Linked DNA regions of Saccharomyces cerevisiae S288C. The gene in region 1 interacts genetically with each later gene. Each region holds a gene or a part of one and is shown in the gene's direction. Other genes may lie near its edges. The genes, in order: PBS2, SCS7, ORM2 and PTK2.

Evidence for each region.
Region 2: mutations in PBS2 (region 1) and SCS7 together harm fitness more than expected from each alone (negative genetic interaction), as found in Saccharomyces cerevisiae (5 studies listed by BioGRID).
Region 3: mutations in PBS2 (region 1) and ORM2 together harm fitness more than expected from each alone (negative genetic interaction), as found in Saccharomyces cerevisiae (4 studies listed by BioGRID).
Region 4: mutations in PBS2 (region 1) and PTK2 together harm fitness more than expected from each alone (negative genetic interaction), as found in Saccharomyces cerevisiae (5 studies listed by BioGRID).

The regions. Positions count from the first base shown.
Region 1 is NC_001142.9:175,415-183,562, reverse strand, and holds PBS2 (mitogen-activated protein kinase kinase PBS2), read left to right. Parts: upstream 1-3,459; coding exon 3,460-5,466; downstream 5,467-8,148. Other genes in the region: SPT10 (Spt10p), read left to right, coding at 1-1,265; MCO6 (Mco6p), read left to right, coding at 1,854-2,012; TRK1 (Trk1p), read left to right, coding at 6,257-8,148. UniProt on the Saccharomyces cerevisiae protein: Kinase involved in a signal transduction pathway that is activated by changes in the osmolarity of the extracellular environment. Activates the MAP kinase HOG1 by concomitant phosphorylation at 'Thr-174' and 'Tyr-176'.
Region 2 is NC_001145.3:806,993-814,208, reverse strand, and holds SCS7 (fatty acid alpha-hydroxylase), read left to right. Parts: upstream 1-3,431; coding exon 3,432-4,586; downstream 4,587-7,216. Other genes in the region: ZDS1 (Zds1p), read left to right, coding at 229-2,976; YMR272W-B (uncharacterized protein), read right to left, coding at 3,013-3,120; orotate phosphoribosyltransferase URA10, read left to right, coding at 6,661-7,216. UniProt on the Saccharomyces cerevisiae protein: Ceramide hydroxylase involved in the hydroxylation of sphingolipid-associated very long chain fatty acids. Postulated to hydroxylate the very long chain fatty acid of dihydroceramides and phytoceramides at C-2.
Region 3 is NC_001144.5:826,782-833,758, forward strand, and holds ORM2 (sphingolipid homeostasis protein ORM2), read left to right. Parts: upstream 1-1,948; coding exon 1,949-2,599; downstream 2,600-6,977. Other genes in the region: DIC1 (Dic1p), read right to left, coding at 196-1,092; NIT3 (putative hydrolase), read right to left, coding at 2,708-3,583; LUG1 (Lug1p), read left to right, coding at 4,335-6,758. UniProt on the Saccharomyces cerevisiae protein: Component of the SPOTS complex that acts as a negative regulator of sphingolipid synthesis. Acts by inhibiting serine palmitoyltransferases (LCB1 and LCB2) activity.
Region 4 is NC_001142.9:544,189-552,621, forward strand, and holds PTK2 (protein kinase PTK2), read left to right. Parts: upstream 1-1,598; coding exon 1,599-4,055; downstream 4,056-8,433. Other genes in the region: CDC8 (bifunctional thymidylate/uridylate kinase), read left to right, coding at 1-524; APS2 (Aps2p), read right to left, coding at 544-987; CBF1 (Cbf1p), read left to right, coding at 4,571-5,626; MNN14 (Mnn14p), read left to right, coding at 6,323-8,433. UniProt on the Saccharomyces cerevisiae protein: Essential determinant for high-affinity spermidine transport. Required for the activation of the plasma membrane proton pump PMA1 via phosphorylation of 'Ser-899'.

The DNA.
Region 1 (8,148 bases):
CCTTTTTCCCGTTAATTTACGGAACGAACGTAGGAATCAGAAGAATTTTGGAAGGATTGAACTTTAGGCGGATTGGAAAGCTGCCTGAAGCCGGGATTCTCAAGGGCTTTGATGTCCCAGTAGATTCTTTCATGTATGGTAAAGAGTTCACACATATTACGAAAAGTATAGATTTGTTACGAGATCCTCAAAAGAGTATCGAAATTGGGAAATATGAACGATTAAAGCATTTTCTGGAAACAGGCAAGTATCCTTTACATTGTGATAGAAACGAAAAGGCTAGATTAAGAGTACTTTCCAAAACTCATTCGGTATTGAATGGCAAGTTGATGACAAAAGGAAAAGAAATCATTTATGACACGGATCAACAAATCCAGATTGCATTAGAGATACATTTAATGGAACATTTAGGCATCAACAAGGTGACCTCCAAAATTGGTGAAAAATACCATTGGAGAGGAATCAAGAGTACTGTTTCGGAGGTAATCTCTCGGTGCCAAAAATGCAAGATGAGGTACAAAGACGGGACAGGGGTAATAATTGAACAAAAGAGAGCAGTTAAGCAGGCGCATATGCTACCGACGCAGCATATAGAAACTATCAACAATCCAAGAAAAAGCAAGAAGCATGATAATGCGTTATTGGGACAGGCAATAAATTTCCCTCAAAATATTATTTCCAGTACGCTGAATGATGTGGAGGGTGAACCCACTCCGCCAGACACTAATATCGTACAACCCACATTCCAGAACGCCACGAATAGTCCCGCAACAACAGCTGAAGCCAACGAAGCGAATAAAAGATCCGAGTTTCTTTCCTCAATACAGAGCACGCCACTATTGGACGACGAACAGTCAATGAATTCCTTCAATAGATTCGTGGAGGAAGAAAACTCAAGAAAAAGACGAAAATACTTGGATGTTGCCTCCAACGGAATTGTACCCCATTTAACGAATAACGAATCGCAGGATCACGCGAACCCCGTCAACCGTGATGAACGAGATATGAACCATTCAGTTCCCGATTTAGATAGAAATGACCATACTATAATGAACGATGCTATGTTGAGCCTCGAAGATAACGTCATGGCCGCTCTAGAAATGGTCCAAAAGGAACAACAACAGAAGATAAATCATCGAGGTGAAGATGTGACTGGCCAACAAATCGATTTGAACAACAGTGAAGGTAATGAGAATTCAGTCACTAAGATTGTTAACAACGAATCTAATACATTTACAGAGCACAATTCTAATATTTATTATTAAATTGCGACTCTGCCAGAGACGGTCACATCACCAACCCTAGAAACTATAAAGTTTGTACAGAAAAAAGGTACATTTAATGATGCGTCCACTTTTGGAACAGGGTTGACAAGTCTTAAATCTTATTTCAGAAGTGATTTTTGAAGTAAAATTGGAAACTGAAATTGGAAACAAGGCACTCAACTCAATTATGCTTGCATGACGAAAGGTTCTGTTACAGTTTTACGTTGAAACCTAGGTACTGCAGAAATCCATAATCGGAGATAAATAACTAAGCTTTGTGCTGCAAAATTTTCCAGATTAGGAAACCTGATCCTCAGTGCCCTTTTAAGTACTGCTGTATCTGATGCCGTGAACGAGACACTATTGGCTGCGTGGGCACGTACCAAGTATACTCATCAAAATTTGTCTTAGGTTTTCCGATGCGGAAAATGGCAGCGCACAATTTAAATAGAAAAGGAGTTAAATGTACAGCAGCAAAATCAGTCACTCACGGAGAAAAGCTACGGTAGCGTAACGAAGAGCACATTGCTACTAGCAGCCAGCTAGATAATTGCAGCAGTGTACAGTTTACGCGACAATAAAGAAAGCATGATTTTCTTTTTCAACCAGATCCGTTCAATATTTACAGCTTTGCATACGCCAACTCAACAGATCCAATTATCAAGAAGGGCCTTTTTCCAATTCTTAGGCTATTTGGGTAGTTGTGTTGTGATTTCATTAGCAGCTCAATCGAAATACGTGCAGTAAGAAATGAAATAATGACCTGCAACAGTCCTTCTTGAGATGGAATGAAGTAATTGCTCTTTGAACGAGAGCACAAAAGCAAGCAGAAGTCGCGTATGTCAAGCCCATGATATAGCTGCTTAGATATATAGGTAGATATAAATAAGCACAATGGCTACAGTAATTGTGCGGTGCAGGGAGGCAATGTTTAGTGCATCTCCTCTACATCATTTCTATTTTTAATCTCGTCCACGAGAACGATTTAAGGAAATGGGGCTTCAAAAATAAAAAAATCAAATGAAAGTAATAATCTTTCAGCTTAGACTTATTTTTAGTTGAAACACTTGAATAAGAGTGCAGACACTCAATCGTGGTGTAGCTACAAGAACATATGGTGGCGTGTTTCTGCTGCAACTGTCAAGATCGTCTGTGTCTTAATGAGGTGATATATAGAACTGCTGAATACGGAGCCGTTTGTCTTTTACTGCGGGATTAACTTCAACAGCTACGGCCGAAGCCAATTCTGGCAAAAGGCAATGACTAAGTCTTGTTTCTCATGTAGATTACTATTTTGAGCGTGTTGCTTTTCTGTTCCCCTTGAGCATAGCAGCAGGCACGGAAGCATACAGAATATTCACTAACATGAGAACAACTCATTACTAGACTACTACCAGTTACTACACATCGATACAACTCCCCAGAAATATCACTGTTGAGAGTTCATGTCAAGACGTAGTATAGTATTGCAACAGGAAAAAAAAATCTTATTGCGTAGCACTCTGTATCTATTTTATATATCTGTTTCTATATTTGATTAATCTCTTGTTATCTTGGTGATGATCGCACAAGTATGTACTCCTGTATCTGCAAGAATATCTGTTTTAAACTTTTCAAAGCAAGGAAACCCCGTCTTATATAGGTTATCCGCAAAGGTCACATTTTCTTGCAAATAGAAGAAAAAGCACCCACAAGCACACTAACACAGTGCCAGAGCAAAACTATATCCTTTGCATCCGATCTCAAACGCTGTTCTTATCGCATCTGTCTTCGTCCTTTCATCTGCATTTACCTTTTCTTTTTCATCCTCTATTTGCCTTTTCATTAGTGGCAATTTTTCCAGTTTTTTCCCTCTGCGTCCCGTTGCACCTGAAAGGATCTTTCTAACGTGTGTTGTCTACTAGTGAGCGATTTCGTGAGCCATACACGTTCTATAGAAAATTGAATAAACTTTACTTCAAAGGGATCTGGACACAGAGATAACTGCTTACCTGCTTGCCGGAAGAAAAGAATTACTAAAAAAGAAGACAAGGGTAGCTGCTATTGTGGGTACACGTTTCACAGAACTACTTTTTCCTTGTCCTTCTCCAGACATCAACGTCATACAACTAAAACTGATAAAGTACCCGTTTTTCCGTACATTTCTATAGATACATTATTATATTAAGCAGATCGAGACGTTAATTTCTCAAAGATGGAAGACAAGTTTGCTAACCTCAGTCTCCATGAGAAAACTGGTAAGTCATCTATCCAATTAAACGAGCAAACAGGCTCAGATAATGGCTCTGCTGTCAAGAGAACATCTTCGACGTCCTCGCACTACAATAACATCAACGCTGACCTTCATGCTCGTGTAAAAGCTTTTCAAGAACAACGTGCATTGAAAAGGTCTGCCAGCGTGGGCAGTAATCAAAGCGAGCAAGACAAAGGCAGTTCACAATCACCTAAACATATTCAGCAGATTGTTAATAAGCCATTGCCGCCTCTTCCCGTAGCAGGAAGTTCTAAGGTTTCACAAAGAATGAGTAGCCAAGTCGTGCAAGCGTCCTCCAAGAGCACTCTTAAGAACGTTCTGGACAATCAAGAAACACAAAACATTACCGACGTAAATATTAACATCGATACAACCAAAATTACCGCCACAACAATTGGTGTAAATACTGGCCTACCTGCTACTGACATTACGCCGTCAGTTTCTAATACTGCATCAGCAACACATAAGGCGCAATTGCTGAATCCTAACAGAAGGGCACCAAGAAGGCCGCTTTCTACCCAGCACCCTACAAGACCAAATGTTGCCCCGCATAAGGCCCCTGCTATAATCAACACACCAAAACAAAGTTTAAGTGCCCGTCGAGGGCTCAAATTACCACCAGGAGGAATGTCATTAAAAATGCCCACTAAAACAGCTCAACAGCCGCAGCAGTTTGCCCCAAGCCCTTCAAACAAAAAACATATAGAAACCTTATCAAACAGCAAAGTTGTTGAAGGGAAAAGATCGAATCCGGGTTCTTTGATAAATGGTGTGCAAAGCACATCCACCTCATCAAGTACCGAAGGCCCACATGACACTGTAGGCACTACACCCAGAACTGGAAACAGCAACAACTCTTCAAATTCTGGTAGTAGTGGTGGTGGTGGTCTTTTCGCAAATTTCTCGAAATACGTGGATATCAAATCCGGCTCTTTGAATTTTGCAGGCAAACTATCGCTATCCTCTAAAGGAATAGATTTCAGCAATGGTTCTAGTTCGAGAATTACATTGGACGAACTAGAATTTTTGGATGAACTGGGTCATGGTAACTATGGTAACGTCTCAAAGGTACTGCATAAGCCCACAAATGTTATTATGGCGACGAAGGAAGTCCGTTTGGAGCTAGATGAGGCTAAATTTAGACAAATTTTAATGGAACTAGAAGTTTTGCATAAATGCAATTCTCCCTATATTGTGGATTTTTATGGTGCATTCTTTATTGAGGGCGCCGTCTACATGTGTATGGAATACATGGATGGTGGTTCCTTGGATAAAATATACGACGAATCATCTGAAATCGGCGGCATTGATGAACCTCAGCTAGCGTTTATTGCCAATGCTGTCATTCATGGACTAAAAGAACTCAAAGAGCAGCATAATATCATACACAGAGATGTCAAACCAACAAATATTTTATGTTCAGCCAACCAAGGCACCGTAAAGCTGTGCGATTTCGGTGTTTCTGGTAATTTGGTGGCATCTTTAGCGAAGACTAATATTGGTTGTCAGTCATACATGGCACCTGAACGAATCAAATCGTTGAATCCAGATAGAGCCACCTATACCGTACAGTCAGACATCTGGTCTTTAGGTTTAAGCATTCTGGAAATGGCACTAGGTAGATATCCGTATCCACCAGAAACATACGACAACATTTTCTCTCAATTGAGCGCTATTGTTGATGGGCCGCCACCGAGATTACCTTCAGATAAATTCAGTTCTGACGCACAAGATTTTGTTTCTTTATGTCTACAAAAGATTCCGGAAAGAAGACCTACATACGCAGCTTTAACAGAGCATCCTTGGTTAGTAAAATACAGAAACCAGGATGTCCACATGAGTGAGTATATCACTGAACGATTAGAAAGGCGCAACAAAATCTTACGGGAACGTGGTGAGAATGGTTTATCTAAAAATGTACCGGCATTACATATGGGTGGTTTATAGCGTTAATATCCAAATAAAAGCAAACAGGCACGTGAATATAACAACAAAAAAAAAGCAGACGAAAAGCTACTGTGGAAATGATGCGGCGAATACAAAAAAACCTTACATATACATATGTTTATTGTAATAAACTTGCATTATACTCGTTATAGACATATATATATATATATATTCATATATATATATCGTCTGACTTCCTTTTGTCGAACCTAAAAAAGGGCACGAATTATGACAGAGTATTGAGGGGATGTTATTTCAAGCACCGGCAAGTGAAGCGATGTGGACGTCAATATATTGTGTTATTCGATTATTGCTACGGCCATCGACTCCTCGAAATTATTTACGTTCGGGGCTGACAACGCAAGAAAGAAAAAATGCTCTGGAATTGTCTGATGGTTTTTCCGCTCTTTACGGCTCAAGGCTAGGAAAGAAAAAAAAGTCCAAAATCATCGAGAAAATAAAAGGTGTTTTGAAAGTTCAAATCCACGTTATTGAGAGTAGATGTGGAGTCTGGACCAGGAACTATACCTGTATCTTACCCTAACTTCTAAATTTTGCTACTTTCACGGAAAACAGTAAATAATTACCTATCAAGATAAAGAGCTCTTACATTATTAGAAACTTTTTGTTACTGTTGCTTTCCTTTCGCCCATTGTTTTTACCTTACCATTAGCATCACTGATTCCACACTTGTATTGCCTTAAAAAGAAGGAGGGTATTCTATTGGCTCTCAAGGAAGTCATTCCTATCCATTTTACTTAAAGTTATTACCTTTTTTTGATAACTAACAATGCATTTTAGAAGAACGATGAGTAGAGTGCCCACATTGGCATCTCTTGAAATACGATATAAAAAATCTTTCGGCCATAAATTTCGTGATTTTATTGCTCTATGTGGTCACTATTTTGCTCCAGTTAAAAAATATATCTTCCCCAGTTTTATCGCGGTTCACTACTTCTACACGATATCCCTGACATTAATAACTTCAATCCTGCTATATCCCATTAAGAATACCAGATACATTGATACATTGTTTTTAGCAGCGGGCGCAGTTACACAAGGTGGCTTAAATACTGTGGATATCAACAATCTAAGCTTATACCAACAAATTGTTCTGTATATCGTATGCTGCATATCAACACCAATTGCAGTTCATAGTTGCTTGGCATTTGTACGGCTTTACTGGTTTGAGCGCTACTTCGATGGTATTAGAGACTCTTCTAGACGAAATTTTAAGATGAGAAGAACGAAAACAATCTTAGAAAGGGAACTAACAGCAAGAACCATGACCAAGAATAGAACAGGTACCCAAAGAACGTCTTATCCTAGGAAACAAGCTAAAACAGATGATTTCCAAGAAAAATTGTTCAGCGGAGAAATGGTTAATAGAGATGAGCAGGACTCAGTTCACAGCGACCAGAATTCTCATGACATTAGTAGGGACAGCAGCAATAATAATACGAATCACAATGGTAGCAGTGGCAGTTTAGATGATTTCGTTAAGGAAGACGAAACGGATGACAATGGAGAATATCAGGAGAACAACTCCTACTCGACGGTAGGTAGTTCGTCTAACACAGTTGCAGACGAAAGTTTAAATCAGAAGCCCAAGCCAAGCAGTCTTCGGTTTGATGAGCCACACAGCAAACAAAGACCCGCAAGAGTTCCCTCAGAGAAATTTGCAAAAAGAAGGGGTTCAAGAGATATTAGCCCAGCCGATATGTATCGATCCATTATGATGCTACAAGGTAAGCATGAAGCAACTGCTGAAGATGAAGGTCCCCCTTTAGTCATCGGGTCCCCTGCGGATGGCACAAGATATAAAAGTAATGTCAATAAGCTAAAGAAGGCCACCGGCATAAATGGTAACAAAATCAAGATTCGAGATAAGGGAAATGAAAGTAACACTGATCAAAATTCCGTGTCAAGTGAAGCAAACAGTACGGCGAGCGTTTCGGACGAAAGCTCGTTACACACAAATTTTGGTAACAAAGTACCTTCATTAAGAACAAATACTCATAGATCAAATTCGGGCCCGATAGCCATTACTGATAACGCAGAAACAGACAAAAAGCATGGGCCATCAATTCAATTCGATATAACTAAACCTCCTAGAAAAATTTCAAAAAGAGTTTCAACCTTCGATGATTTGAACCCAAAATCTTCCGTTCTTTATCGAAAAAAAGCATCGAAGAAGTACCTCATGAAACATTTTCCTAAAGCGCGGCGAATACGGCAACAAATTAAGAGAAGGCTTTCTACTGGTTCAATTGAGAAAAACAGCAGTAACAATGTTTCAGATAGAAAACCTATTACTGATATGGATGATGATGATGATGACGATGACAACGACGGCGATAACAACGAAGAATACTTTGCTGACAACGAAAGCGGCGATGAAGATGAACGAGTACAGCAGTCTGAACCACATTCTGATTCAGAACTCAAATCGCACCAACAACAGCAAGAAAAACACCAACTGCAGCAGAACCTGCACCGCATGTATAAAACCAAATCATTTGATGATAATCGTTCAAGAGCAGTTCCTATGGAACGTTCCAGGACCATCGATATGGCAGAGGCTAAGGATCTAAATGAGCTCGCAAGGACGCCTGATTTTCAAAAAATGGTCTATCAAAATTGGAAAGCCCATCATAGAAAAAAACCGAACTTTAGGAAGAG
Region 2 (7,216 bases), on another chromosome or scaffold:
AAAGTACCTATACTTTGTATTACGGACTCAATAACAAGTCGTTCGTGTCAGTGGTATTGAAGTTGTCAGATCTAAGAGTAGAGAGAAGGTGGCATCTAATAGGTTTCGACGTTTTTCTTTTTTTAAGGTTTTTATTTGGTCTCCTAGAATTTAAGGTCTTAGTTAGTTTTGGTTTGTTTTGTGGGTTACATATTTTCAATTCAAAGGAGAATTTAGCTGTCTTTTATAATGTCCAATAGAGATAACGAGAGCATGCTGCGTACTACATCAAGCGATAAGGCGATCGCTAGTCAAAGGGATAAACGGAAGTCTGAAGTTTTGATTGCTGCACAGTCCCTTGACAATGAAATCCGCAGCGTAAAAAACCTAAAAAGATTGTCGATTGGGTCAATGGATTTACTTATTGATCCAGAATTAGATATAAAATTCGGTGGGGAATCTAGTGGGAGACGATCATGGTCTGGCACGACATCCAGTTCTGCGTCAATGCCAAGTGACACAACCACCGTTAATAACACACGATATAGCGATCCAACTCCGCTAGAGAACTTGCATGGGAGGGGTAACTCAGGGATAGAATCCTCCAATAAGACTAAACAAGGTAACTACTTAGGTATAAAAAAAGGTGTTCACTCTCCATCCAGGAAATTAAATGCTAACGTATTAAAGAAAAACTTATTATGGGTTCCCGCCAATCAACACCCTAACGTTAAGCCTGATAATTTCCTAGAGCTTGTACAAGATACTTTACAAAATATACAACTAAGCGACAATGGTGAAGATAATGATGGGAATAGCAATGAAAATAACGATATTGAGGATAATGGGGAGGATAAAGAATCACAATCATATGAAAATAAGGAGAACAACACTATCAACTTGAACAGGGGGCTGTCAAGGCATGGAAACGCGTCACTAATACGAAGGCCTTCAACATTGCGGAGGTCATATACAGAGTTTGATGATAACGAAGATGACGATAATAAGGGAGACAGTGCCTCTGAAACAGTAAATAAAGTCGAAGAAAGAATCTCCAAAATAAAAGAGAGACCAGTGTCGTTAAGAGATATAACTGAAGAACTGACAAAGATCTCAAATAGTGCAGGACTAACCGACAATGATGCCATTACATTAGCCAGAACTCTTAGTATGGCTGGTTCATATTCAGATAAAAAAGATCAACCACAACCGGAAGGGCATTATGATGAAGGAGATATTGGTTTTTCAACTTCACAAGCGAATACTTTGGATGATGGTGAATTTGCCTCCAATATGCCCATCAATAATACCATGACATGGCCTGAACGATCGTCACTGAGAAGGAGTAGATTCAACACTTATCGAATCAGGTCACAAGAGCAAGAAAAAGAAGTAGAACAAAGTGTGGATGAAATGAAAAACGACGACGAAGAACGTCTAAAATTGACCAAGAATACAATAAAGGTCGAAATAGATCCGCACAAATCCCCTTTTAGACAGCAAGATGAGGATTCTGAGAATATGAGTTCGCCTGGGTCAATTGGTGATTTTCAAGACATTTATAATCATTACAGACAGTCTAGTGGCGAGTGGGAACAAGAAATGGGAATAGAGAAAGAAGCCGAAGAGGTACCCGTCAAGGTTCGAAATGACACAGTAGAACAAGACTTAGAGTTAAGAGAGGGAACAACAGACATGGTAAAGCCAAGCGCAACGGATGACAACAAAGAAACGAAGCGACATCGTCGAAGAAACGGATGGACATGGTTGAACAATAAAATGAGCAGAGAAGACGATAACGAAGAAAACCAAGGGGACGATGAAAATGAAGAAAACGTGGATTCACAAAGAATGGAGCTCGACAATTCCAAAAAACATTATATTTCTCTATTTAATGGCGGTGAGAAGACGGAGGTGTCAAATAAAGAAGAAATGAACAATTCAAGTACTTCCACCGCCACATCACAGACAAGACAGAAAATCGAGAAAACTTTTGCGAACCTATTCAGAAGAAAGCCACACCACAAGCATGATGCATCATCATCACCCTCGTCGTCACCATCATCGTCACCATCAATACCAAATAACGATGCCGTGCACGTTCGCGTGAGGAAAAGCAAAAAGCTTGGTAACAAAAGTGGAAGGGAGCCGGTTGAACCCATTGTGTTGCGCAATCGCCCTCGTCCTCACCGTCACCATCACAGCCGTCATGGTTCCCAAAAAATAAGCGTAAAAACCCTTAAAGATTCTCAGCCGCAGCAGCAGATACCATTACAACCACAATTGGAAGGCGCAATAGAGATAGAAAAGAAAGAGGAAAGCGATTCCGAGAGCTTGCCCCAACTACAGCCGGCCGTTAGTGTAAGTAGTACCAAAAGTAACTCTAGAGACAGAGAAGAAGAGGAGGCAAAGAAAAAGAACAAGAAGAGGAGCAATACGACAGAAATTTCCAACCAACAACACTCCAAACACGTCCAAAAGGAGAATACCGATGAGCAAAAAGCTCAACTACAAGCTCCAGCTCAAGAACAAGTCCAAACTTCAGTCCCAGTTCAAGCTTCAGCCCCAGTCCAAAATTCAGCCCCAGTCCAAACTTCAGCCCCAGTTGAAGCTTCAGCTCAAACTCAGGCTCCAGCGGCACCACCATTGAAACATACCTCCATATTGCCCCCAAGAAAGCTTACATTTGCAGACGTCAAAAAACCTGACAAACCAAACTCCCCGGTTCAATTCACAGACAGTGCCTTTGGGTTCCCACTGCCTTTGCTGACAGTGTCTACGGTTATCATGTTCGACCACCGTCTACCAATTAACGTCGAAAGGGCCATATACCGGCTGAGTCACTTGAAATTGAGCAATTCGAAGAGGGGACTGCGCGAGCAGGTATTACTAAGTAACTTCATGTATGCTTATCTGAACTTGGTTAATCACACTCTGTACATGGAGCAGGTAGCCCACGACAAAGAACAACAACAACAACAACAACAACAACCCTGAAAAGGCTTCAGCGCTGCATACATAGACATATACACATCACACGTACATACACGAAAAGATAGCTTTCATGCTCACAAAGCTACGTTCCCCACAGAATATTTCCCAGGACAACAGGGAAAGTTGGACAAACACCAAACTTCTCATAATACAATAGCCGAAAACAGTCTTGCTTTTGATAAAGAGAGCTTTCTGCGGCCGGAAGAAAATGTGCCTATTCCGCGGGGCCGTTCCGCGCAGAAACTACCGCACGACGTCGGAAATATAACGGGGTTTTGCGCGGATTTACTGACGTGTGACATCTTTTCGCAGTTAATTTTTTTTTCAATTTGGAACCGTATAAGAACAGAGGTATTAGATAGTAGAAGCTATTGTGTCTATTGTCTTTGATTAGTTTTTTTTTCTATTGTTATCGTGGCAGGCACTAAAAGCGGTGGTAAGCTAAAACTAGTACGAAGATGTCGACTAATACTTCCAAGACTTTGGAACTGTTTTCAAAAAAGACGGTACAAGAACACAATACTGCCAATGACTGCTGGGTCACTTATCAAAACAGAAAGATTTATGACGTGACCAGGTTTTTGAGCGAACACCCTGGTGGTGACGAGTCCATCTTGGACTATGCTGGTAAGGACATTACTGAGATCATGAAAGACTCAGATGTGCATGAACACAGCGACTCCGCGTATGAAATCCTTGAGGACGAATATTTGATTGGTTACTTGGCAACTGACGAAGAGGCAGCGAGATTGTTGACTAACAAGAACCATAAGGTTGAAGTGCAGTTGTCAGCTGACGGTACTGAGTTTGACTCCACTACTTTTGTAAAGGAGTTGCCCGCCGAGGAGAAACTAAGTATTGCTACGGACTACAGTAACGACTACAAAAAGCATAAATTTTTGGATCTGAACCGTCCTTTGCTGATGCAGATTCTGCGTAGTGATTTCAAGAAAGATTTTTACGTTGACCAAATCCATAGACCAAGACATTACGGTAAGGGGTCTGCCCCGCTATTTGGTAATTTCTTGGAACCATTAACTAAAACAGCTTGGTGGGTTGTTCCAGTTGCTTGGTTGCCTGTAGTTGTGTACCACATGGGTGTTGCTTTGAAGAACATGAACCAGCTATTTGCATGTTTCTTGTTCTGTGTCGGTGTCTTTGTTTGGACTTTGATTGAATACGGTCTTCACCGTTTCCTATTTCATTTCGATGATTGGTTACCTGAAAGTAACATCGCATTCGCCACACATTTTCTACTACATGGTTGCCATCATTACTTGCCCATGGACAAGTACCGTTTAGTTATGCCACCTACTCTGTTCGTCATCCTTTGTGCTCCATTTTACAAGTTGGTATTTGCTCTGCTGCCACTTTATTGGGCTTACGCTGGTTTTGCTGGCGGTCTTTTCGGTTATGTCTGTTATGACGAATGTCATTTCTTCTTGCACCACTCTAAATTGCCTCCCTTCATGCGTAAGTTGAAAAAATATCACCTGGAACATCATTATAAAAACTACCAACTGGGATTTGGCGTCACATCCTGGTTTTGGGACGAAGTTTTTGGCACCTACTTAGGCCCCGATGCCCCATTGTCCAAAATGAAATATGAATAATTATTGGTCAGCCTCGTCCAAAATTGTCAACCTAGGAAAAACAACATTACGAGCAATGAAATCTTGAGCAAAGTTCTTTTCTGCGACATATTTATTTCAAATCTTTATTTATATTATTATATGTAACTACGTATATATACATACACATGGAATGGAATCATAGATGAAATCGATGAACAAGCACGTTATTTCTTAAACGAATATCCAATCGATGACGACTATACGAAAAAGCGGCCTCAAAAAAGAACCGAATTGACAGGTACATTTTTCTTTCACAGATCAGGTTGGCAAAAAAATACTAACCGTATCCTGTGTTACTGTCGTTAGAACAGGAATCAAGATGAGCACAGTGAAGTTATCTGATAGTCCCTAGACTCTCATTGACTTTTTGTAATATTAGGACACAGAATATACTAAGGGTTCTTCTCGAGAATAAATGAACACATAAGCAAATCAGAAATTCTACATACTATAAGAGTACCTCATACCTAATCATTTCTTAATCCATTCCGTTATCAGTAATTGCATTCGAGGTTCCATTAAACTGGTGCCGACATTTATATAGTTATATTGGTCCAATGATCTTATCATCCTCCACACCGTATACAACTATATCTTAGTAAACAACGGCTAGTAAGTGAAACGATGGTCCATTTTAGGCACGAAGAATAAAGTAAAATCTGTATCTGCGTTGCGCAAATCATCAATTGCATTTATGTTGGAACGAGAGTAATTAATAGTGACATGAGTTGCTATGGTAACAATCTAATGCTTACATCGTATATTAATGTACACCTCGTATACGTTTAAGTGTGATTGCACCTATTGCAGAAGGAATGTTAAACGAGAAGCTCAGACAATACTGAAGCTGTGTTAAAGACCTATTAGTTGAACATGTTATGGTAGGTACATATATGAGGAATATGAGTCGTCACATAAATGTATAGTAACTACCGGAATCACTATTATATTGGTCATGATTAATATGACCAATCGGCGTGTGTTTTATATACCTCTCTTATTTAGTATAAGAAGATCAGTAATTATTTCTTCATTAATACTATTTTTTACCTCTAATTATCAACAATTTACATAGCCCAAAGTCATGAGGAGAGCTTCTACTATAAACCTCACTCACAATTCTTTCTTTAGTCAGACGTAGAAACCTAAGATTTGTTAGTATATACGGTTTTCCGTACCAGTACAAGATCCATTGCTTGCGATATTGTTAAAATAGGGACCATCTTTCTTAAAAAGGTTCCATAAAACCGGAAGTTTTAGTGTACACTAACAACAGAAGAAAAAGGTCCTATAGTGTAGTGGTTATCACTTTCGGTTCTGATCCGAACAACCCCAGTTCGAATCCGGGTGGGACCTTCCCTTCATTTTTCGTATTTTACGAAATTTAAACCATCATTTTTTTTTTTTGAACCAATGCGAGAAAAAAATAAAAAGAGAAAGGTAAGAAAAAGAAACCAACCTCTATACAGATACAATCGCTCATCTCGATATACTTATTTTTACATACCAGAGATATCGAAGAAGTTACTCAATTATTTGACAAGTGCTCATCATTATGTCATTTGAAGTTTTGCGTGTGACAGACAAGTCCTAATAGGATATCCTTTAGATAAACCATTGGGGCCCCTTATATGAGGTTTATACACACACATATATATGTATACATATGGCTAAATTGCCTTCTGAGAGCCTGATAGTTTTTTTAGCACTTTATTCTTTCACTTGTATTTTTTTAGACATTTCACGTATTCGGCTAATGGTATGGCACTTTCTCACGTGCCTTTCAGACTATGTAATATAAACTGTTCTAACCTGCTCTACACCTGACTCACATGACAGCATTTCCTTTCAGAATCACATAACATTTTTTGGTTTTAATTATCATATGCATTTCAAGGGAGTCATACATAACCTTTCGGGAAAGGCCCCTTCGCTTCCTAATCTAGGGTAAAAGGCCATCACAGGCTCTTTTATATAGATTAAGAACTAAGGAAGTGTCACGCAAAATAGTCGAGACCTAGAGCCATCAAGAATAATAAAACATAATCCAATAATGTCTGCATCTACTACAAGTTTAGAGGAATATCAAAAAACTTTCCTTGAACTGGGATTAGAATGCAAAGCACTAAGATTTGGGTCATTCAAGCTGAATTCAGGCAGGCAGTCGCCATATTTTTTCAATCTTAGTTTGTTCAATTCTGGAAAGCTGTTGGCAAACCTTGCCACCGCGTATGCAACTGCTATCATTCAATCGGAGCTTAAATTCGATGTTATTTTCGGACCTGCTTACAAAGGGATCCCTTTGGCTGCTATTGTATGCGTTAAACTAGCAGAAATCGGGGGCACTAAATTTCAAGGTATTCAATATGCTTTTAATAGAAAGAAAGTTAAAGACCACGGCGAAGGTGGTATTATTGTTGGAGCATCGCTTGAAGACAAGAGGGTGTTGATTATCGACGATGTCATGACTGCAGGAACTGCAATCAATGAAGCATTTGAGATAATCAGTATTGCTCAAGGTAGGGTAGTGGGTTGTATTGTTGCTTTAGATAGGCAAGAAGTGATTCATGAATCTGATCCGGAAAGAACAAGTGCTACCCAATCTGTTT
Region 3 (6,977 bases), on another chromosome or scaffold:
ATTTGATCGCTGCATGAGGAATGCTGGTTATCTATGTATCGGGACATGGTTGCAACGTTTCCAACAAGAACAAGAATAGAAAAAAAAATACCGAAAGCGTCCTTTGCGTTATACCTACCAACCGTGTACAAGCTTTACTCTTCTTGCTTTCTTTATTTGCTATGTATCTTTATGTTTATATGTATATAAATCTGCCTACTTGTCTTCCTTTGGCATGCCAACCCTATGTTTTTTCAATTGCTCAATTGCAAAGAAAATTAACATTGTGAATGGACCCAGTCTAGTGAAACTTGGCAACCACCCCCGGAACATGAAAGATGGGCCCTCTTTGCGGACAGCGTCGGCAAGGATCTTCAAAGCCGGTTGATGGTCTCCGCTGCCGTTCATGATACGTGTCTTCATGACGTCTGCTGGAGAGCACACAGTGGTGGCCACCAGGCCAGCCAACAGGGACGCTGTCAAGTGTGTATAGTTCTTGGATGCGTCGAAATCTAATTTTGTGACCAAGTAGTTCTTAAACACGTCATACGTAACGACCTGACTTGCCGTCATCAGTATGCCCCTAACCATGTTAGGCTTCCAACCGGTAAACAAGGTTTTCAGTCCACCCTCGTAGCGATATATCTTGTACACACCATCGATAGCGTTTTTGTAGTTTCTCCTCTTCGCTGCCTCCAAAGCAGAGTCGTTTTGCATTCTGATATTTACAACATCTGCAAAATTCCCTGCAAGCCCCCCAATGGCACCACTGAACATGGAGCAAGGTAAAAGATACGCCATGTTAGTCAATTGCTCGCGTGGGATCACATTCTCTTTCAACAAGTCGTATGCACCGAATCTCACCGTCGTGTATGTACATTGCCTCAACACAGCAGCGCTCAGGCCGGAATATAACCCCACCACACCTTCATTCGCCAAGATACTCTCCAACATCCTGAAGAGTGTGGGCTTGGGCATAGGAGCCGCCTGCAGTCTGACTTTGGCCAAGTCAAGAGGATGTGTCACCATGGTAGCAAAGATACCCGCTGCACCTCCGTACCACCATGGATACTTGATATTCTTACCGGCAGACTCTTTTGCGTTGGTTGACATGCCGTCCAGCTGTTGCGTTATCTTTTCGACACTTTCAGAGCAAGAGAAACGAACCTCTACACATAAATATGCATACGATTATGTATATCCATATATATATATACACTACAAGCCGACCGCCCGACCGTTTCCTGCCCCCAACATTGCAGCGTAATCGCTTGCCAAAGACCACACCTTGCAGCCCTTTTATACAAACATGTCTACGACGTACAGTGGAGAGGGCCCTTTCCTTGGCACTCAACTGAGATTGCGACGCGATACCTTCTGCGACCGTTCCTACTATCGCGGCCATAACTCCAACAACGACAGCGGATGCGCTGTTCTGCGGATGCGTGACCGTATCCGCAAAGAACGAAGATTAAATTTAGGGTCCCCGGCATTGAGGATGGTTCTGCCAAGAACTCACGATATAAACCAGTTGGTTGAGCATCGCATGGATGAGTATGGCGTATTTTGATTGCTCATATATAGTGGGGGGGAATACTCATGCTGTGAAAAGCACAACTCTTTTCACTCAACGAGGTTAATGCCTTCTTTGTCTCCACGCCGTTTTTTTCTGGCGCCCTTTTGAGAAAGATAGCCTGTCCCGTAATCGTGGCTTTGGCAGAGACAGAGGGTGAGCGAAAGAGCGGGCGAAACCGAGAATGGATTCCGAGTAAAGGATTGCGATGGCATGAAACAAAACCGAGAGGCACTCCTTGTAAGGACACACATACACAGACGTAAACATATATATACATACGTATACTCAAATATATCTTCGTATCATTAGGTCAGCTTCTCTCTTCCGCACGTAGAATTAGAGAATTAACGCAAGACTATACCATTATAAAAACGCATAAGAAACAGTTTCATCATGATTGACCGCACTAAAAACGAATCTCCAGCTTTTGAAGAGTCTCCGCTTACCCCCAATGTGTCTAACCTGAAACCATTCCCTTCTCAAAGCAACAAAATATCCACTCCAGTGACCGACCATAGGAGAAGACGGTCATCCAGCGTAATATCACATGTGGAACAGGAAACCTTCGAAGACGAAAATGACCAGCAGATGCTTCCCAACATGAACGCTACGTGGGTCGACCAGCGAGGCGCGTGGTTGATTCATATCGTCGTAATAGTACTCTTGAGGCTCTTCTACTCCTTGTTCGGGTCGACGCCCAAATGGACGTGGACTTTAACAAACATGACCTACATCATCGGATTCTATATCATGTTCCACCTTGTCAAAGGTACGCCCTTCGACTTTAACGGTGGTGCGTACGACAACCTGACCATGTGGGAGCAGATTAACGATGAGACTTTGTACACACCCACTAGAAAATTTCTGCTGATTGTACCCATTGTGTTGTTCCTGATTAGCAACCAGTACTACCGCAACGACATGACACTATTCCTCTCCAACCTCGCCGTGACGGTGCTTATTGGTGTCGTTCCTAAGCTGGGAATTACGCATAGACTAAGAATATCCATCCCTGGTATTACGGGCCGTGCTCAAATTAGTTAGTTGGCTCTGCCTATACGCATATATGTATATATATATATATATATATGTATGTATGTGTATATGTATATGTACGTATACCTTACATCATCATCTTTCTTTATATTCTCTCTAATGCGCATTTACATCGGAGTACACGTCAAATCTTCTTTGTTTGGTTAAGGGTACCGCTTGTCTAAATGACTCAATGACTTCGGGATCTAATTCAGCATAAATAATCTCTTCTCCCTCGCCAGCTTCAGCTACAATCTTGCCTCTAGGGTCCACCACTATAGAGTGGCCATATGCATGGTAAGAACTCTGTAGATTCCTTGCGGGAGAACATAACATCACGTACACTTGGTTGTCAACTGCCCTGCTTCTTGCCAGTAAATGCCAATGCAAGGGCCCTGTGACAGTGTTGAATGCACTAGGGTAGATCATGGCAAACGCACCCTTGCGTGCACTTAGCATTGCGAGTTCCGGAAACCTCATGTCATAGCATATACCTACGCCAAACTTACCATATTTCGTGTCAATGGTAGTAGACTTCTCTCCAGGGCTCAAGGTTTCACTTTCATGGAACGATATACCGTTAGGAATGTCTACATCGAAAAGATGGACCTTCCGATGCTTGTCAATCAACTTGCCATCCTCGTTGAAAATTATAGAGGTGTTGTAGATTTTGTCTGTCTTTGGATCCAATTCCGGAATTGTTCCTCCTACCAAGATGATTTTAAACTTATTGGCTAAATTAGACAGAAATTGAACTGACGTCGAAGGCTCTTTCGGATTGATAACTTCTGAATACTTTCTAAACTGATCAGTGGAGTACGGAGAATTGAAGCATTCTGGCAATACGACCAACTTGGTATCCGGCTGTTCCTTCATAGCCCTTTCAATGAACGTTGCAGCCCTTTGAAGATTGGCCATTTTGTCAGGACTCGAGCCTGACAGTTGGACCAACGCAACTTTAATTTTTTGTGAAAGAATCTTCGAAGCACTCATACTGGCGATCTTCACGCCCTCCTGCTACTACAAAAGCTGTGTTTTTACAAGAATCAAATTAAGTTAGCAAGATATCATACAACATTATTGATAATTTTAATATCGTGTTCGTACCTGATGACGTATCTGTGCATTGATAAGGCCCGCATGGTTTCAGAAAGCAGAGCGGGACGATTCCAAATTAGTGGCCTTGTGCTTTGCATGTCAATTGTGTTACCTTCAGCTCGTGGATTTGTTTTATCAATACACAGTCTACAGTCAAGAATTTTTTTTTATCAATTTGTGCGTTCGAGCGTATAAAATAGCCGCTGTAGCTACTTAAGTTCCTGTTCAGCGATAGTTTTTTTCCATCACACGTACTATGGCACCAACTTTGTACTATTCCTTCCCCGTTTACTCAATTCTTGAAGCCAATTTGTACAATTCCCCATTAGAGTCAAATAAAAGGATGCCTCACGGAGGTATGTTACCCGCGCTATTTCACATGGCTCATTGAATTAGAGGTGGAATTTGGTGTACCCTCCCCTCCTCATCTGATGAAGTAGTGATCCGACAATTCTTAAAAGTTGTAGACATTACTCTTACCACCAACTAAGTTGTATTTATATTGCTACCCTTATCCTTTTATATCTAACTAGCGCTTATAAGGTTGGGGCAATACTAAAACTGTGATCTTATTCAGCTCATTAAATACGTGGCAGTACGTACCCTATTAGAAACAATAGGAAACAACAGAGTCGGAAGAAGCCAAATGCCAGATTTGAAGTCCAAGACCTTGTCAAGCCAATCTTTGGGAGCGGCTATTCCTCCAGAAATTGTGTACCAAATACTTACATACCAGTTTAGGGATTTGTTAAGAAATGACCATCCAGGTACGGCAGAAAAGTTTAACGAAAACTTAACTACATTTGTCAAAAGTAATTTAACTGTTAATAAGACATTCTCCCATATTTGTCAAGTTCTCATTTATAGATATTGTAATTTAACTACCGCAAAGAGATTTCACGGTCTTTTACAGACTTTAAAGGGAAATAGATGCCTTTGCAATAAGATTGAAGTAGCCGATTTCCAAGAATTAACGTCTATTGGACTGGGGAGGTCCAGTGAGATGAATAAAATGATTAAAAATCTAACTAACGAAACTCTTCTTGAGTTTCTAATGCTCACAAAAGCAAACTTAAGGGAATTCTTAGCATGTGAAAATATTCAAGACGATTTAGACGATAATATCATAAAGTATATTCTATCTCCAGGAAAAGTCTTGAGTGTAGTGGATTTCTGTGGCTGTTCAGGCACCACTTTCACAGAAAGTTTTATTAAGGCCCTGGATAAATACTACCCTAATAAATCGATTGATCAGTACCGGCTGGAACCTATTCAACAAAATTATCAGATTACCTGCTTAGGCCTAAATGATTGTATTGATCTACCATCACACGTCCTTTGGAAGATCTTAAAAATGTTACCAGAACTACAAAAACTTGATTTATCTCATACCTCCATTGATGATAGTACCTTATATCACGGCATACCTCACTGGAAAAATTTAACTCATCTTTCCCTCGCTACTTGTCTTCAAGTTACTCCAAGAGCGGTTCTGGAGTTTTTTAGTCATCACCCAACAATTACAGACCCTGACAACACTTCTACATTAGAATGGCTGAATGTTAGTGTCATTGCCCATTCCTCATCTTGGAATGAGGTGCACACAATGTTTTTACTAAAAAAACTTTGTCAACATGGCCATAACAAAACTTTGCAATATCTAAATATCGGCGGTTTACCGCTTCATGTTGCACCTTCTTTCGGCGAGGACCCTATTAGCGAATCCACTTATTATTACCAATGCCGCGATAGCTTACAGTTCATAAAGTGGAATTTTCCGAAGTTAAAAAGTTTGAGTATAAAAGGTAATAGTATCCCGATATCTACGCTCGTAGAATTTTTGACACCAATTGATCAAGACCATCCTAATTGTGCTCAAAAATTGAAGTTTTTGAATATTTCTGGTAACTCTTATGTGAATAAATGGACTATTCAGGACTCATTATTGTACACTTGTTCTCCAAGTTTAGTCGCGTTAGAAGTTTCCTTTGACTCGTGGCAACAGATTGAAAAACTAAATGATAGACATGAAATTATTGCATACAGATATAAAAACCCAAATTCGGTAATTAAAGATATTTCAACAGCAGAACAAGTAAAGTGGAAATGTTACATTGATTCTTCTTATGGTAGGAGATATTGGTTATATAAGACTGATCCTTTCCTGAATCGTGATGACTTGGATTCTAAGTCAAATTTAACTAGGTATGATTTTGAGGGTCACAAAATCATAGAAATTATAAACCAGCCGGATTTCCTAAAGTTTGCCCAAAGTAAAATCATGCTTGGATGTGGTCTAGTTCCTCAAAGTGGTATTAGACGTAAACTATGTTACAGAGATTTAAAGCCACCAGTTTCTCAATTCTTAAATAGAAAAGGTGCGATCAGCCTTGGTGATACTCCACTACCAATAATTACCCCAACATTACCTCGTGGTGGGTGGAGAATCATCCATAATGAGGACGACAACAACAGTCATGTGGAAGATAGCCAAAATCACGTGAATGCCATCCCAAGAAGGAATTCTCTGTTGAGCAGACCCACTTTAAGAAGCAACAATGGTTCTTCCTCTGCCAACCCCTTTGCTATCAATGTTTCTCCTGCATCTCAAATCAGGGATGGTTTGTACTGGGATAGGTCGGTCCATGATTTACGTGAGCTATCATTGCAAGAACAAAGAATTCAGGAGTTAGCTGATGAGCAGCAGGAACTAAGAACAATCGCAAACTTTGAAGAGACTGACGACGAATATTTGCACGATCCCGACTTGCAACGGAGAAGGTCCCAACTTCACTTATTTGAAAGTTCGCGCTCACGTTCAGGAAATAAAACAAGACCAAGTTTAACTGGTGAACACTCGTCCTCGGCATCGTTTCTATCCTTCTCCCACTTCAACCACCTTCACAAGCGTAAGAATTATTATTTCACGCATCCCGATGAATTTGTCTATGATCCAAAGGATCCTCTGACGACTCAAAGATATAGATTACATTTTGAAATAGTCAACGAATATCAAGTTTTTGGGTGCATTGAGCGTGGAATGTATAGATACTACAGTTTAAAAGCATAGATATTTTTCTCTTTACTTCCTTACCCTTCCTCCGCTCTCGTCTTGTGTCTTGTATATGATTTCTATATATGGTAAAATATTGCATACATCGTCTACCATTTAGCCAGACTTTTCGGAAACGAATTTAATGATTGCAGCAAATTCCCTTCCCCTATCAACTGATTGAAGAATGCCTCGAAACGCAATGTGATTTTTAAGTTTTCCATTTTTTTTTTTTTC
Region 4 (8,433 bases), 370 kb from region 1:
CCCGAATCGGAGGACTCATAAACGAATATTTGACGGATGATAGTTTCCAATTATCAGATCAGGCAATTCACCTCTTGTTTTCGGCAAATAGATGGGAAATAGTTGACAAGATAAAGAAAGATTTACTAGAAGGCAAGAACATTGTCATGGACAGATATGTTTATTCTGGAGTGGCATATTCTGCCGCTAAGGGGACAAATGGAATGGATTTGGATTGGTGCTTGCAACCCGATGTAGGGTTGCTGAAACCGGATTTGACATTATTTTTAAGCACTCAAGATGTCGACAATAACGCCGAAAAATCTGGATTTGGTGACGAAAGATACGAAACTGTTAAGTTTCAAGAAAAAGTGAAGCAAACTTTTATGAAGCTATTGGATAAAGAGATAAGGAAAGGCGATGAGTCAATCACGATTGTAGACGTTACTAATAAGGGCATTCAGGAAGTTGAAGCGCTTATTTGGCAAATCGTTGAGCCTGTTTTGAGTACGCATATTGATCATGATAAATTTTCGTTCTTCTAGGAGGATCTGTACATATATCCTAGTCTAGTCTATCTAAAATACTTAGTCTTTCTAACAGCATATCCTTTGAAATTTCTTGTATTTCCCCTCCAATAAACATCTCGTCCATTATCATATAGACTTTGTAAAAGTTGAATACGATATCCAGTTCACAGACATTGCCGAAAAATGCATCTAGCACCTCCACAAACAGATGGATGTGGCACAAATATATGGGTTCATCGTCAAGTAAGTCCACACCCATGACAAAATACAGACCCGCATACCTCCTGTATATGAGTTTCGTCGAATCGGAAAACTCTACGAAGTTACTCTGATGCTTATGATCTCTGGAAGATATGAGTCTATAAATCTGCGCAATGGCATCCTGGCTACGCTGAGGATCCGAACTGTGTACATCGAACCATCTCACCAACCGCACCACACCCTGCTTATTAAAGCACAGTATAAACTGTACTGCCATTTTTTTTATCCCTTACAGCAAACAAGTCTCCGTTCTTCACAAAATAACAGCACCAAACGCTATCTCAAGGCAAACGTTCTTAATGTACCTACTGAATAAACCATTCCTCCCCGTTTGTATCAAAAGTATCCGAAACTGTTCTATGCGTGCAAAATGATATGTCTTGCAAAACTATTGGAAAGACCCTTCCACTACAGGTACAGTTTAGAAATGCCGGAGCTGCAAGTACTACGTGCCGGCAGCATGATAAACATACCCGCGTCCTATAGCCATTCAAGCCTACATATATGGTATATACAACATGAACGCTTTAGTACGGTCACCCCATCTACAAGCATAACCTCTTGGGCAAAGGCGCAAATAGTTGCCACGTGCGAGTGCGGTGCATGGGTGGCTGTCTTTTCGTCATTGGCACGACCCCTTGCAGGTGGGAGGTAGAACCAAATAATATCCGGTTGACGGTAAAAGCAGGTTTATATATAGTGTTAAAGAAAGGTATTGTCACATCCCGTCGCTACCCTTATCCAAACCACGATATCGCACGCACACCAGGAAAGTAAAGTTGTGTAAGCCGTAGCAGTTTTTTACAGGTTAACCGATTGAATAAGATAATGGCGGGAAACGGTAAGGACAAAGAGGTAGATAAAAGTCCCTCTGTTAGTACTTTGAAACTATTGGGAAAACGCCTGTTTAATTCCAGCAGTCACACGGATAACTCTTCGTTACTGCTTAGTGCCGAACAATTGGGCAATGGGAGAAGTTTAAGAAAAAGGCCAACGTCTCCGTCCATTAGTGGCAGTGGTAGCGGTGGTAATTCACCTTCGTCTTCTGCTGGGGCACGGCAGAGATCTGCTTCTTTACATAGAAGAAAAAACAATGCTTCTGTAGGATTTTCAAATGGGTCTGTGTCGTCACACAAGTCCTCTGTCGCATTGCAGGACTTAATTAAACATAATAATAACCCTTACTTGAACTCTCCCTCTGATATTCTGGGCACAGGTACTGGCATTGCCTCGACAAGAGATAGGGATAGAGCAGTTTTGGATAGAGAAAAGGAAAAAGAAAGGGCGAGAAACAAAGAAAGAAATACTCATCACGCGGGCTTACCGCAAAGGTCTAATAGCATGGCTAGTCACCATTTTCCCAACGAGAATATAGTTTATAATCCATACGGCATAAGCCCAAACCATGCTAGGCCAGATACTGCATTTGCAGACACTCTGAATACGAATAAGGAGAACGATTTGAGTTTTTACATGCATGATGGTAACAGCAAGATACGGATGTTGCCCCTTCCAATTGCTAATCCGAACGATTTTTTGCCCGAAGATATGAAACAATATAGTGTCCATTTAACGGATAATTTCGTATTTGATACGGACAATAAACCTATTGGTTCGGGTGGGTCTAGTGAAGTTAGAAAGGTTAAATCAAGTTACAGGCAAAAGGATGTTTACGCTCTAAAAAAACTGAATATGATATACCACGAGTCACCCGAGAAGTTTTACAAGAGATGCTCCAAAGAATTCATCATAGCTAAGCATTTAAGTCATAACGTTCACATCACGAATACTTTTTATCTTCTAAAAGTTCCCACGACCACATATACAACTCGTGGTTGGGGGTTTATTATGGAACTAGGTGTTAAGGACCTCTTCCAACTGATGGAAAGAACAGGCTGGAAGAACGTTCCCTTCAATGAAAAATATTGTCTTTTCAAACAAGTGGCCCAAGGTATTAAGTTTTGTCATGACAATGGTATTGCTCACCGTGATTTGAAGCCCGAAAATGTTTTAATTTCTAAAGAAGGTATATGCAAATTGACGGATTTCGGTATTTCTGATTGGTACCATGTGATACCTCATGACTACACTAGTCCAGTGAAAACATGCCAAGGTATGATTGGCTCTCCACCATACACTCCGCCAGAGGTAATGTACTTCGATGCCAAGAAGCACTACCCCGAAAAGTTCCAAAAACCCTATAATCCGTTGGCCATGGATTCCTATGCCCTCGGAATCATGCTGATTACCATGATTAACAATATCATCCCCTTCATCGATTCTTGTAACACTGATGCGAGATTCAGGGAATTTGAAGTGTCATATGACAACTTCATCAATCATCAAAACCCACATTTCAGGGACAAGGGCTGCCACAAGCCGGGTCCTGGTTCCGAATACTCTTTAGCAAGAAATTTCAAGAATACTGATGCCACGCGTATCGCATGGAGATTGGCTGACCCGAACCCTGCAACTAGATATACAATGGATGATTTATTTAATGATCCGTTTTTCCAACAAATTGAAACATGTGTCGAGCCAAATGATGATGACTTAGTAAGGGTTCCTGAATTAAGGAAAAGTACTTCTACCAATGATTTTAGTGAAAATTCATTAGATGCACCCCATGATCAAGAGGTCATTCACACGTCTAATCCATTCCTAAAAAAGGAAACGCTCACTTCTAAACCAAGATCGATGTTGGAAATTGCAGAATCTCCTTCCTTGAAACAAAAATCCAAGGTAAAAGATAGCGCAAAGACCAAAACACACGATGTTGGGGATGAAGGGGGGAATGAAAGCACCAAACCTAAGCAGCAAGATAAAAAGGAAAATTTGAAGAAAGATGAGGTCAAGAACGGCGACAAGGACAAAGTCATTGAAGAGGCTACCACGACTAATGTGGACAGCATATTGGAAAAACCAACACCAACCTCCACAAAAGTAGAGGACAACTTAAGCGAAGATGATTCCACAATGAAGGAATTAAAGTCGATGCTAAACTCCACCCCTACTACACCAACACATAATGGCCCCACTCCGCTCCCTGCAAAGGCTGGCACTCAATTAGATAAGCGTATGAGCGACCTATCACTCAAATCGGAAACACCGGCTTCTACAAAGAACTTTAGCGCACCGAATGTTTCGTCATCAAGCAATTCACTGAGAAGCCTCGGAAGTCCAAGCGTGTCATCCTCGAAAAAGAAGAAGGTAATTCACCACCACTTGGACATTACCAACAGCGTTACAAACATGTCATCCGTGAGCGCCTTTATCTCAAGATAGACGTTAGGACTTCTTTAATTCCCTCTTTTATGCTTTAGTATCGTCATATTCTTTCATACCCTTCCTTATAAGCTTTTTATATAAAATATCCCACCGGGAAAAGATAAAGAACGGAAGATAAATCAAACAATGAAATAAAGCACACACATATAAATCCACATATGTACTTATATATTTTACTTCAAACAATAAACAAACATTTTATTATTTATTTTTCCCGTACATCGATGTACGTGATCGGTTTTTCTCATTCCTCTCGGATCCTTCGGGACCACCATGTCTCACCCACCAAGGTCAAAAAAAAAATAAAATCGGACGAGAAAAGTATTGGGCAAACAACAATTATCCACGTGCTTATCACGTTTTTTTATTTAATGTAGAATGTAAACCATTATACCTTAAAGATAAACACTTTGTTAATTAATCATTTTAGTTGGCGGTCATTTTCATTTCTGCTACAAGTACCAACATCAAGTGCTTAAAATATAATACGGTTTTCTACACTTTTATTAACGATGAACTCTCTGGCAAATAATAATAAGCTTTCTACTGAGGATGAGGAAATCCATTCGGCAAGAAAAAGAGGCTATAACGAGGAGCAGAACTACAGCGAGGCCAGGAAAAAGCAAAGAGATCAAGGCTTGTTGTCACAAGAGAGCAATGACGGAAATATTGACTCTGCTCTGTTGAGCGAAGGGGCTACGCTAAAAGGGACTCAAAGTCAGTATGAAAGCGGACTGACGTCTAACAAAGATGAGAAAGGAAGTGATGACGAAGATGCGTCAGTGGCTGAGGCTGCTGTTGCCGCTACCGTCAATTATACAGACTTAATCCAGGGCCAGGAAGATAGTTCTGATGCCCACACATCTAATCAAACGAACGCGAATGGTGAGCACAAGGATTCCCTTAATGGGGAAAGAGCCATAACCCCATCAAATGAAGGAGTCAAGCCAAACACCTCCCTGGAGGGAATGACGTCTTCACCAATGGAATCTACACAGCAATCTAAAAACGACATGCTCATACCATTGGCAGAACACGATCGTGGGCCAGAACACCAACAGGATGATGAAGACAATGATGACGCTGACATTGATCTCAAAAAGGATATAAGCATGCAGCCGGGTCGTCGTGGAAGAAAACCTACTACTTTGGCCACAACAGACGAGTGGAAAAAGCAAAGAAAAGACTCCCATAAAGAAGTCGAAAGGCGTCGCCGCGAAAACATCAACACTGCAATCAACGTTTTAAGCGACCTCCTGCCCGTGAGAGAATCAAGTAAGGCAGCAATATTGGCGTGTGCCGCTGAATACATTCAAAAATTGAAAGAAACCGATGAAGCAAACATCGAAAAGTGGACGTTACAAAAATTGCTTAGCGAGCAAAACGCATCGCAATTAGCCAGTGCAAATGAGAAACTGCAGGAAGAACTGGGAAATGCTTACAAAGAAATCGAGTACATGAAACGCGTTTTAAGGAAGGAGGGAATAGAATACGAGGATATGCACACTCACAAGAAACAAGAGAACGAAAGAAAAAGCACTAGGAGCGATAATCCACATGAGGCTTGAGAGTTAAAAATAGATAGCTAAATGTATTTCGAGTCTCCCTATGTATCTGCGTCTCTGCCCCATAGCACCTCTGTTAAGTTTTTATCAATATTCCATCGGCATATTTGAAACCGCCCGGATGGTATTAGAGAATCACTCAGCCTCAAACTCAGCAAGTAAAAGAGGACGGGACGGACTTTCAAATATGTCTTTGTACGTTATTGTTTTTCATCCCTAAATGGCTTAGTAAAAAAGTTTTGCCAAGAATTTTTTGACGTTCAATGGAAAAATCGCCAAGAGAAATACGCACAACCTCCGTTTTCCCGCCTTTTATCAAAAAATCTTAGTTTTCCCTTCCTTTTTTTTTTTTTGGGTCGCAGAAAAGAAAAAAGATAGTAGTGGAGAGGATTACCTGAAAAAAACAGGCAAAAACGTCACATCCTTGAAGGTCCGCGACAATCACGGGCCTATTTCTACTTTGGGGCTTTGCTTGATTATTTAAGAAGAAACATTGGACGAAGATCAAGTAAGAGTGCACTTGTCTTTAGTCTGGCATTCCGCTATTTGTATCTTATATAGTTAACAACAACTGTTATTTACTTTCTGGAAAACAACCAACGTTTATTTTTATGAATTAGAATCATTGAGATTGTCTAAACGAGAGGAAGAGAAAGAAAGAGAGAAAGAGAAAAGAAAGCGAAGCAAGATACAATTCCAATGATGTTATCACTGCGCAGGTTCTCCATGTACGTTTTGAGATCTCTGCGGCTTCACTTTAAAAAGATAATCATTACTCTTCTAACTATCCAGTTACTATTCATTACCATATTTGTATTGGGCGGTCGCTCGTCGATTATTGACGGTAACTGGAAGTCATTCATGGCGCTCTTTTTCAAACCGCTTGCTTACACTAACAGAAACAACAACCATGCTTCTTTCGATCTGAGATCAAAAGACAACGTAGCCAAACTTTACGAAAAAATGAATTTTGATACTTCAGGCAAATGGATCGACACGTACACCTTGAAGAATAATCTTCTCACTGTGAAAATGGGTCCTGAAAAAGGGCAAGTTCTTGATTCGGTAGATGAATTGAGATATTACGATAACGACCCAAGGCTGGTATGGTCAGTTTTACTAGATCACTTATTAGAATCAGATTCCAATGAATACGCATTTTCGTGGTACGATTGGGCTAATTTTGACTCTACAAACAAACTCATTGCACTGAGACACACGAACATATCTTGCCAGTTCGTTTGCGAGGGTGCCTTTGATAAAAATGTGCTAGAAATGGTAGAGAGTGAAGTCCAAGAGCCTTTATTCGTCACAAATAGGAATAAATATGACGAATCGCTCTGGTACAACAGGGTAAGAAAGGTTGTCGATTCTAATTCTGTGCAGCAAGCCATACATGATCACTGCATGAATAATGACGCGTATTCCAATGGTACTCCCTTCGAATTGCCTTTTATCATAAGCGAAATTTCTGAAAGGTTGAGGCCAGAAGTGTATGACTTACAAGCCAAAAACCACTTGTTATATTCTAACTTTACTCCACTGTCATTAACCGTACTGGACAGCGATAAAGATGCATACAGAATCAATTTGAAGACAACAGACTCTTCCAAATCAAATATAGTACAGACAAATCTACTACAGAATTACATTAAGAGGCACAGAAATGAAATGGTAAATGGCGACCTCATTTTCAACCACACTTCCATGTTTGAAAAATTTTTACATCATGGATCCACTAAAAAAAGGAAACTTGACGTTGAAGCGTTGGATAAAACAATATACGCTGGAGAGTATCTAGAACTATCACCATCTGATTTCCAATTCAATGCAAAAGAGAGGATCATTGAATTAGAGACCAGGCTCAGGTCTGAAGGCCTACCATCTCATGATACCCACTATTTACGAAGTTTAAAGACGTCCGTAAATACGTCCCCTGCATTACAGCAAAAGTATTTCGCAGAGGCCTCTGATATTACGGACGCGACTGCCGATGGTCATCATAGAGACAGGCGATTTTTCTCAATCGGACATAATCTCCTAAATGACCCTCAGGAGTTTGAAGCAAGATTGAATTCTTTGATCAGAAATTTTCAGAAATTTGTTAAGGCTAACGGATTAATTTCCTGGCTATCGCATGGTACATTGTATGGATATCTATATGATGGTCTGAAGTTTCCCTGGGATGTCGACCATGATTTACAGATGCCCATTAAACATTTACATTACTTGAGTCAATATTTCAACCAATCCCTAATATTAGAAGATCCAAGAGAAGGTAATGGAAGATTCTTACTAGATGTAGGAAGCGCAATTACGGTAGGAGTTCATGGGAACGGCGAAAACAATATTGATGCTCGTTTCATCGATATTGACTCAGGTATATACATTGACATCACGGGACTTAGCGTTAGTTCCGATGCGGCTAAACAGTACATGTCCAAATTTGTAGAAGAAGAAAGCTCGGGCGAAAGCTTTTCTGCCCTTATTGAAGACTATAAGTTTGACGAAAACGACTATTTTGACGAGGTGGATGGTAGAGAAGGTTTAGCTAAATATACCATACATGAATTAATGGAATGGGTTAATTCTCATCCAGACGACTTTACGGATGCAGAAAAGAATTTAGTCACCAAAACATACAAGAAAGAGCTTGCAATTTCGAGAAGCGATTATGCTGAAAAAGACTTGTCTCCGAAACAAAGGTATTTGGTAAATGAGAAGTATAACCTTTACAATTGTAGAAACCAGCATTTTTCCAGTCTAAACATCATATCACCCTTGAGAAATACAATGTTCAGCGGTGTGTC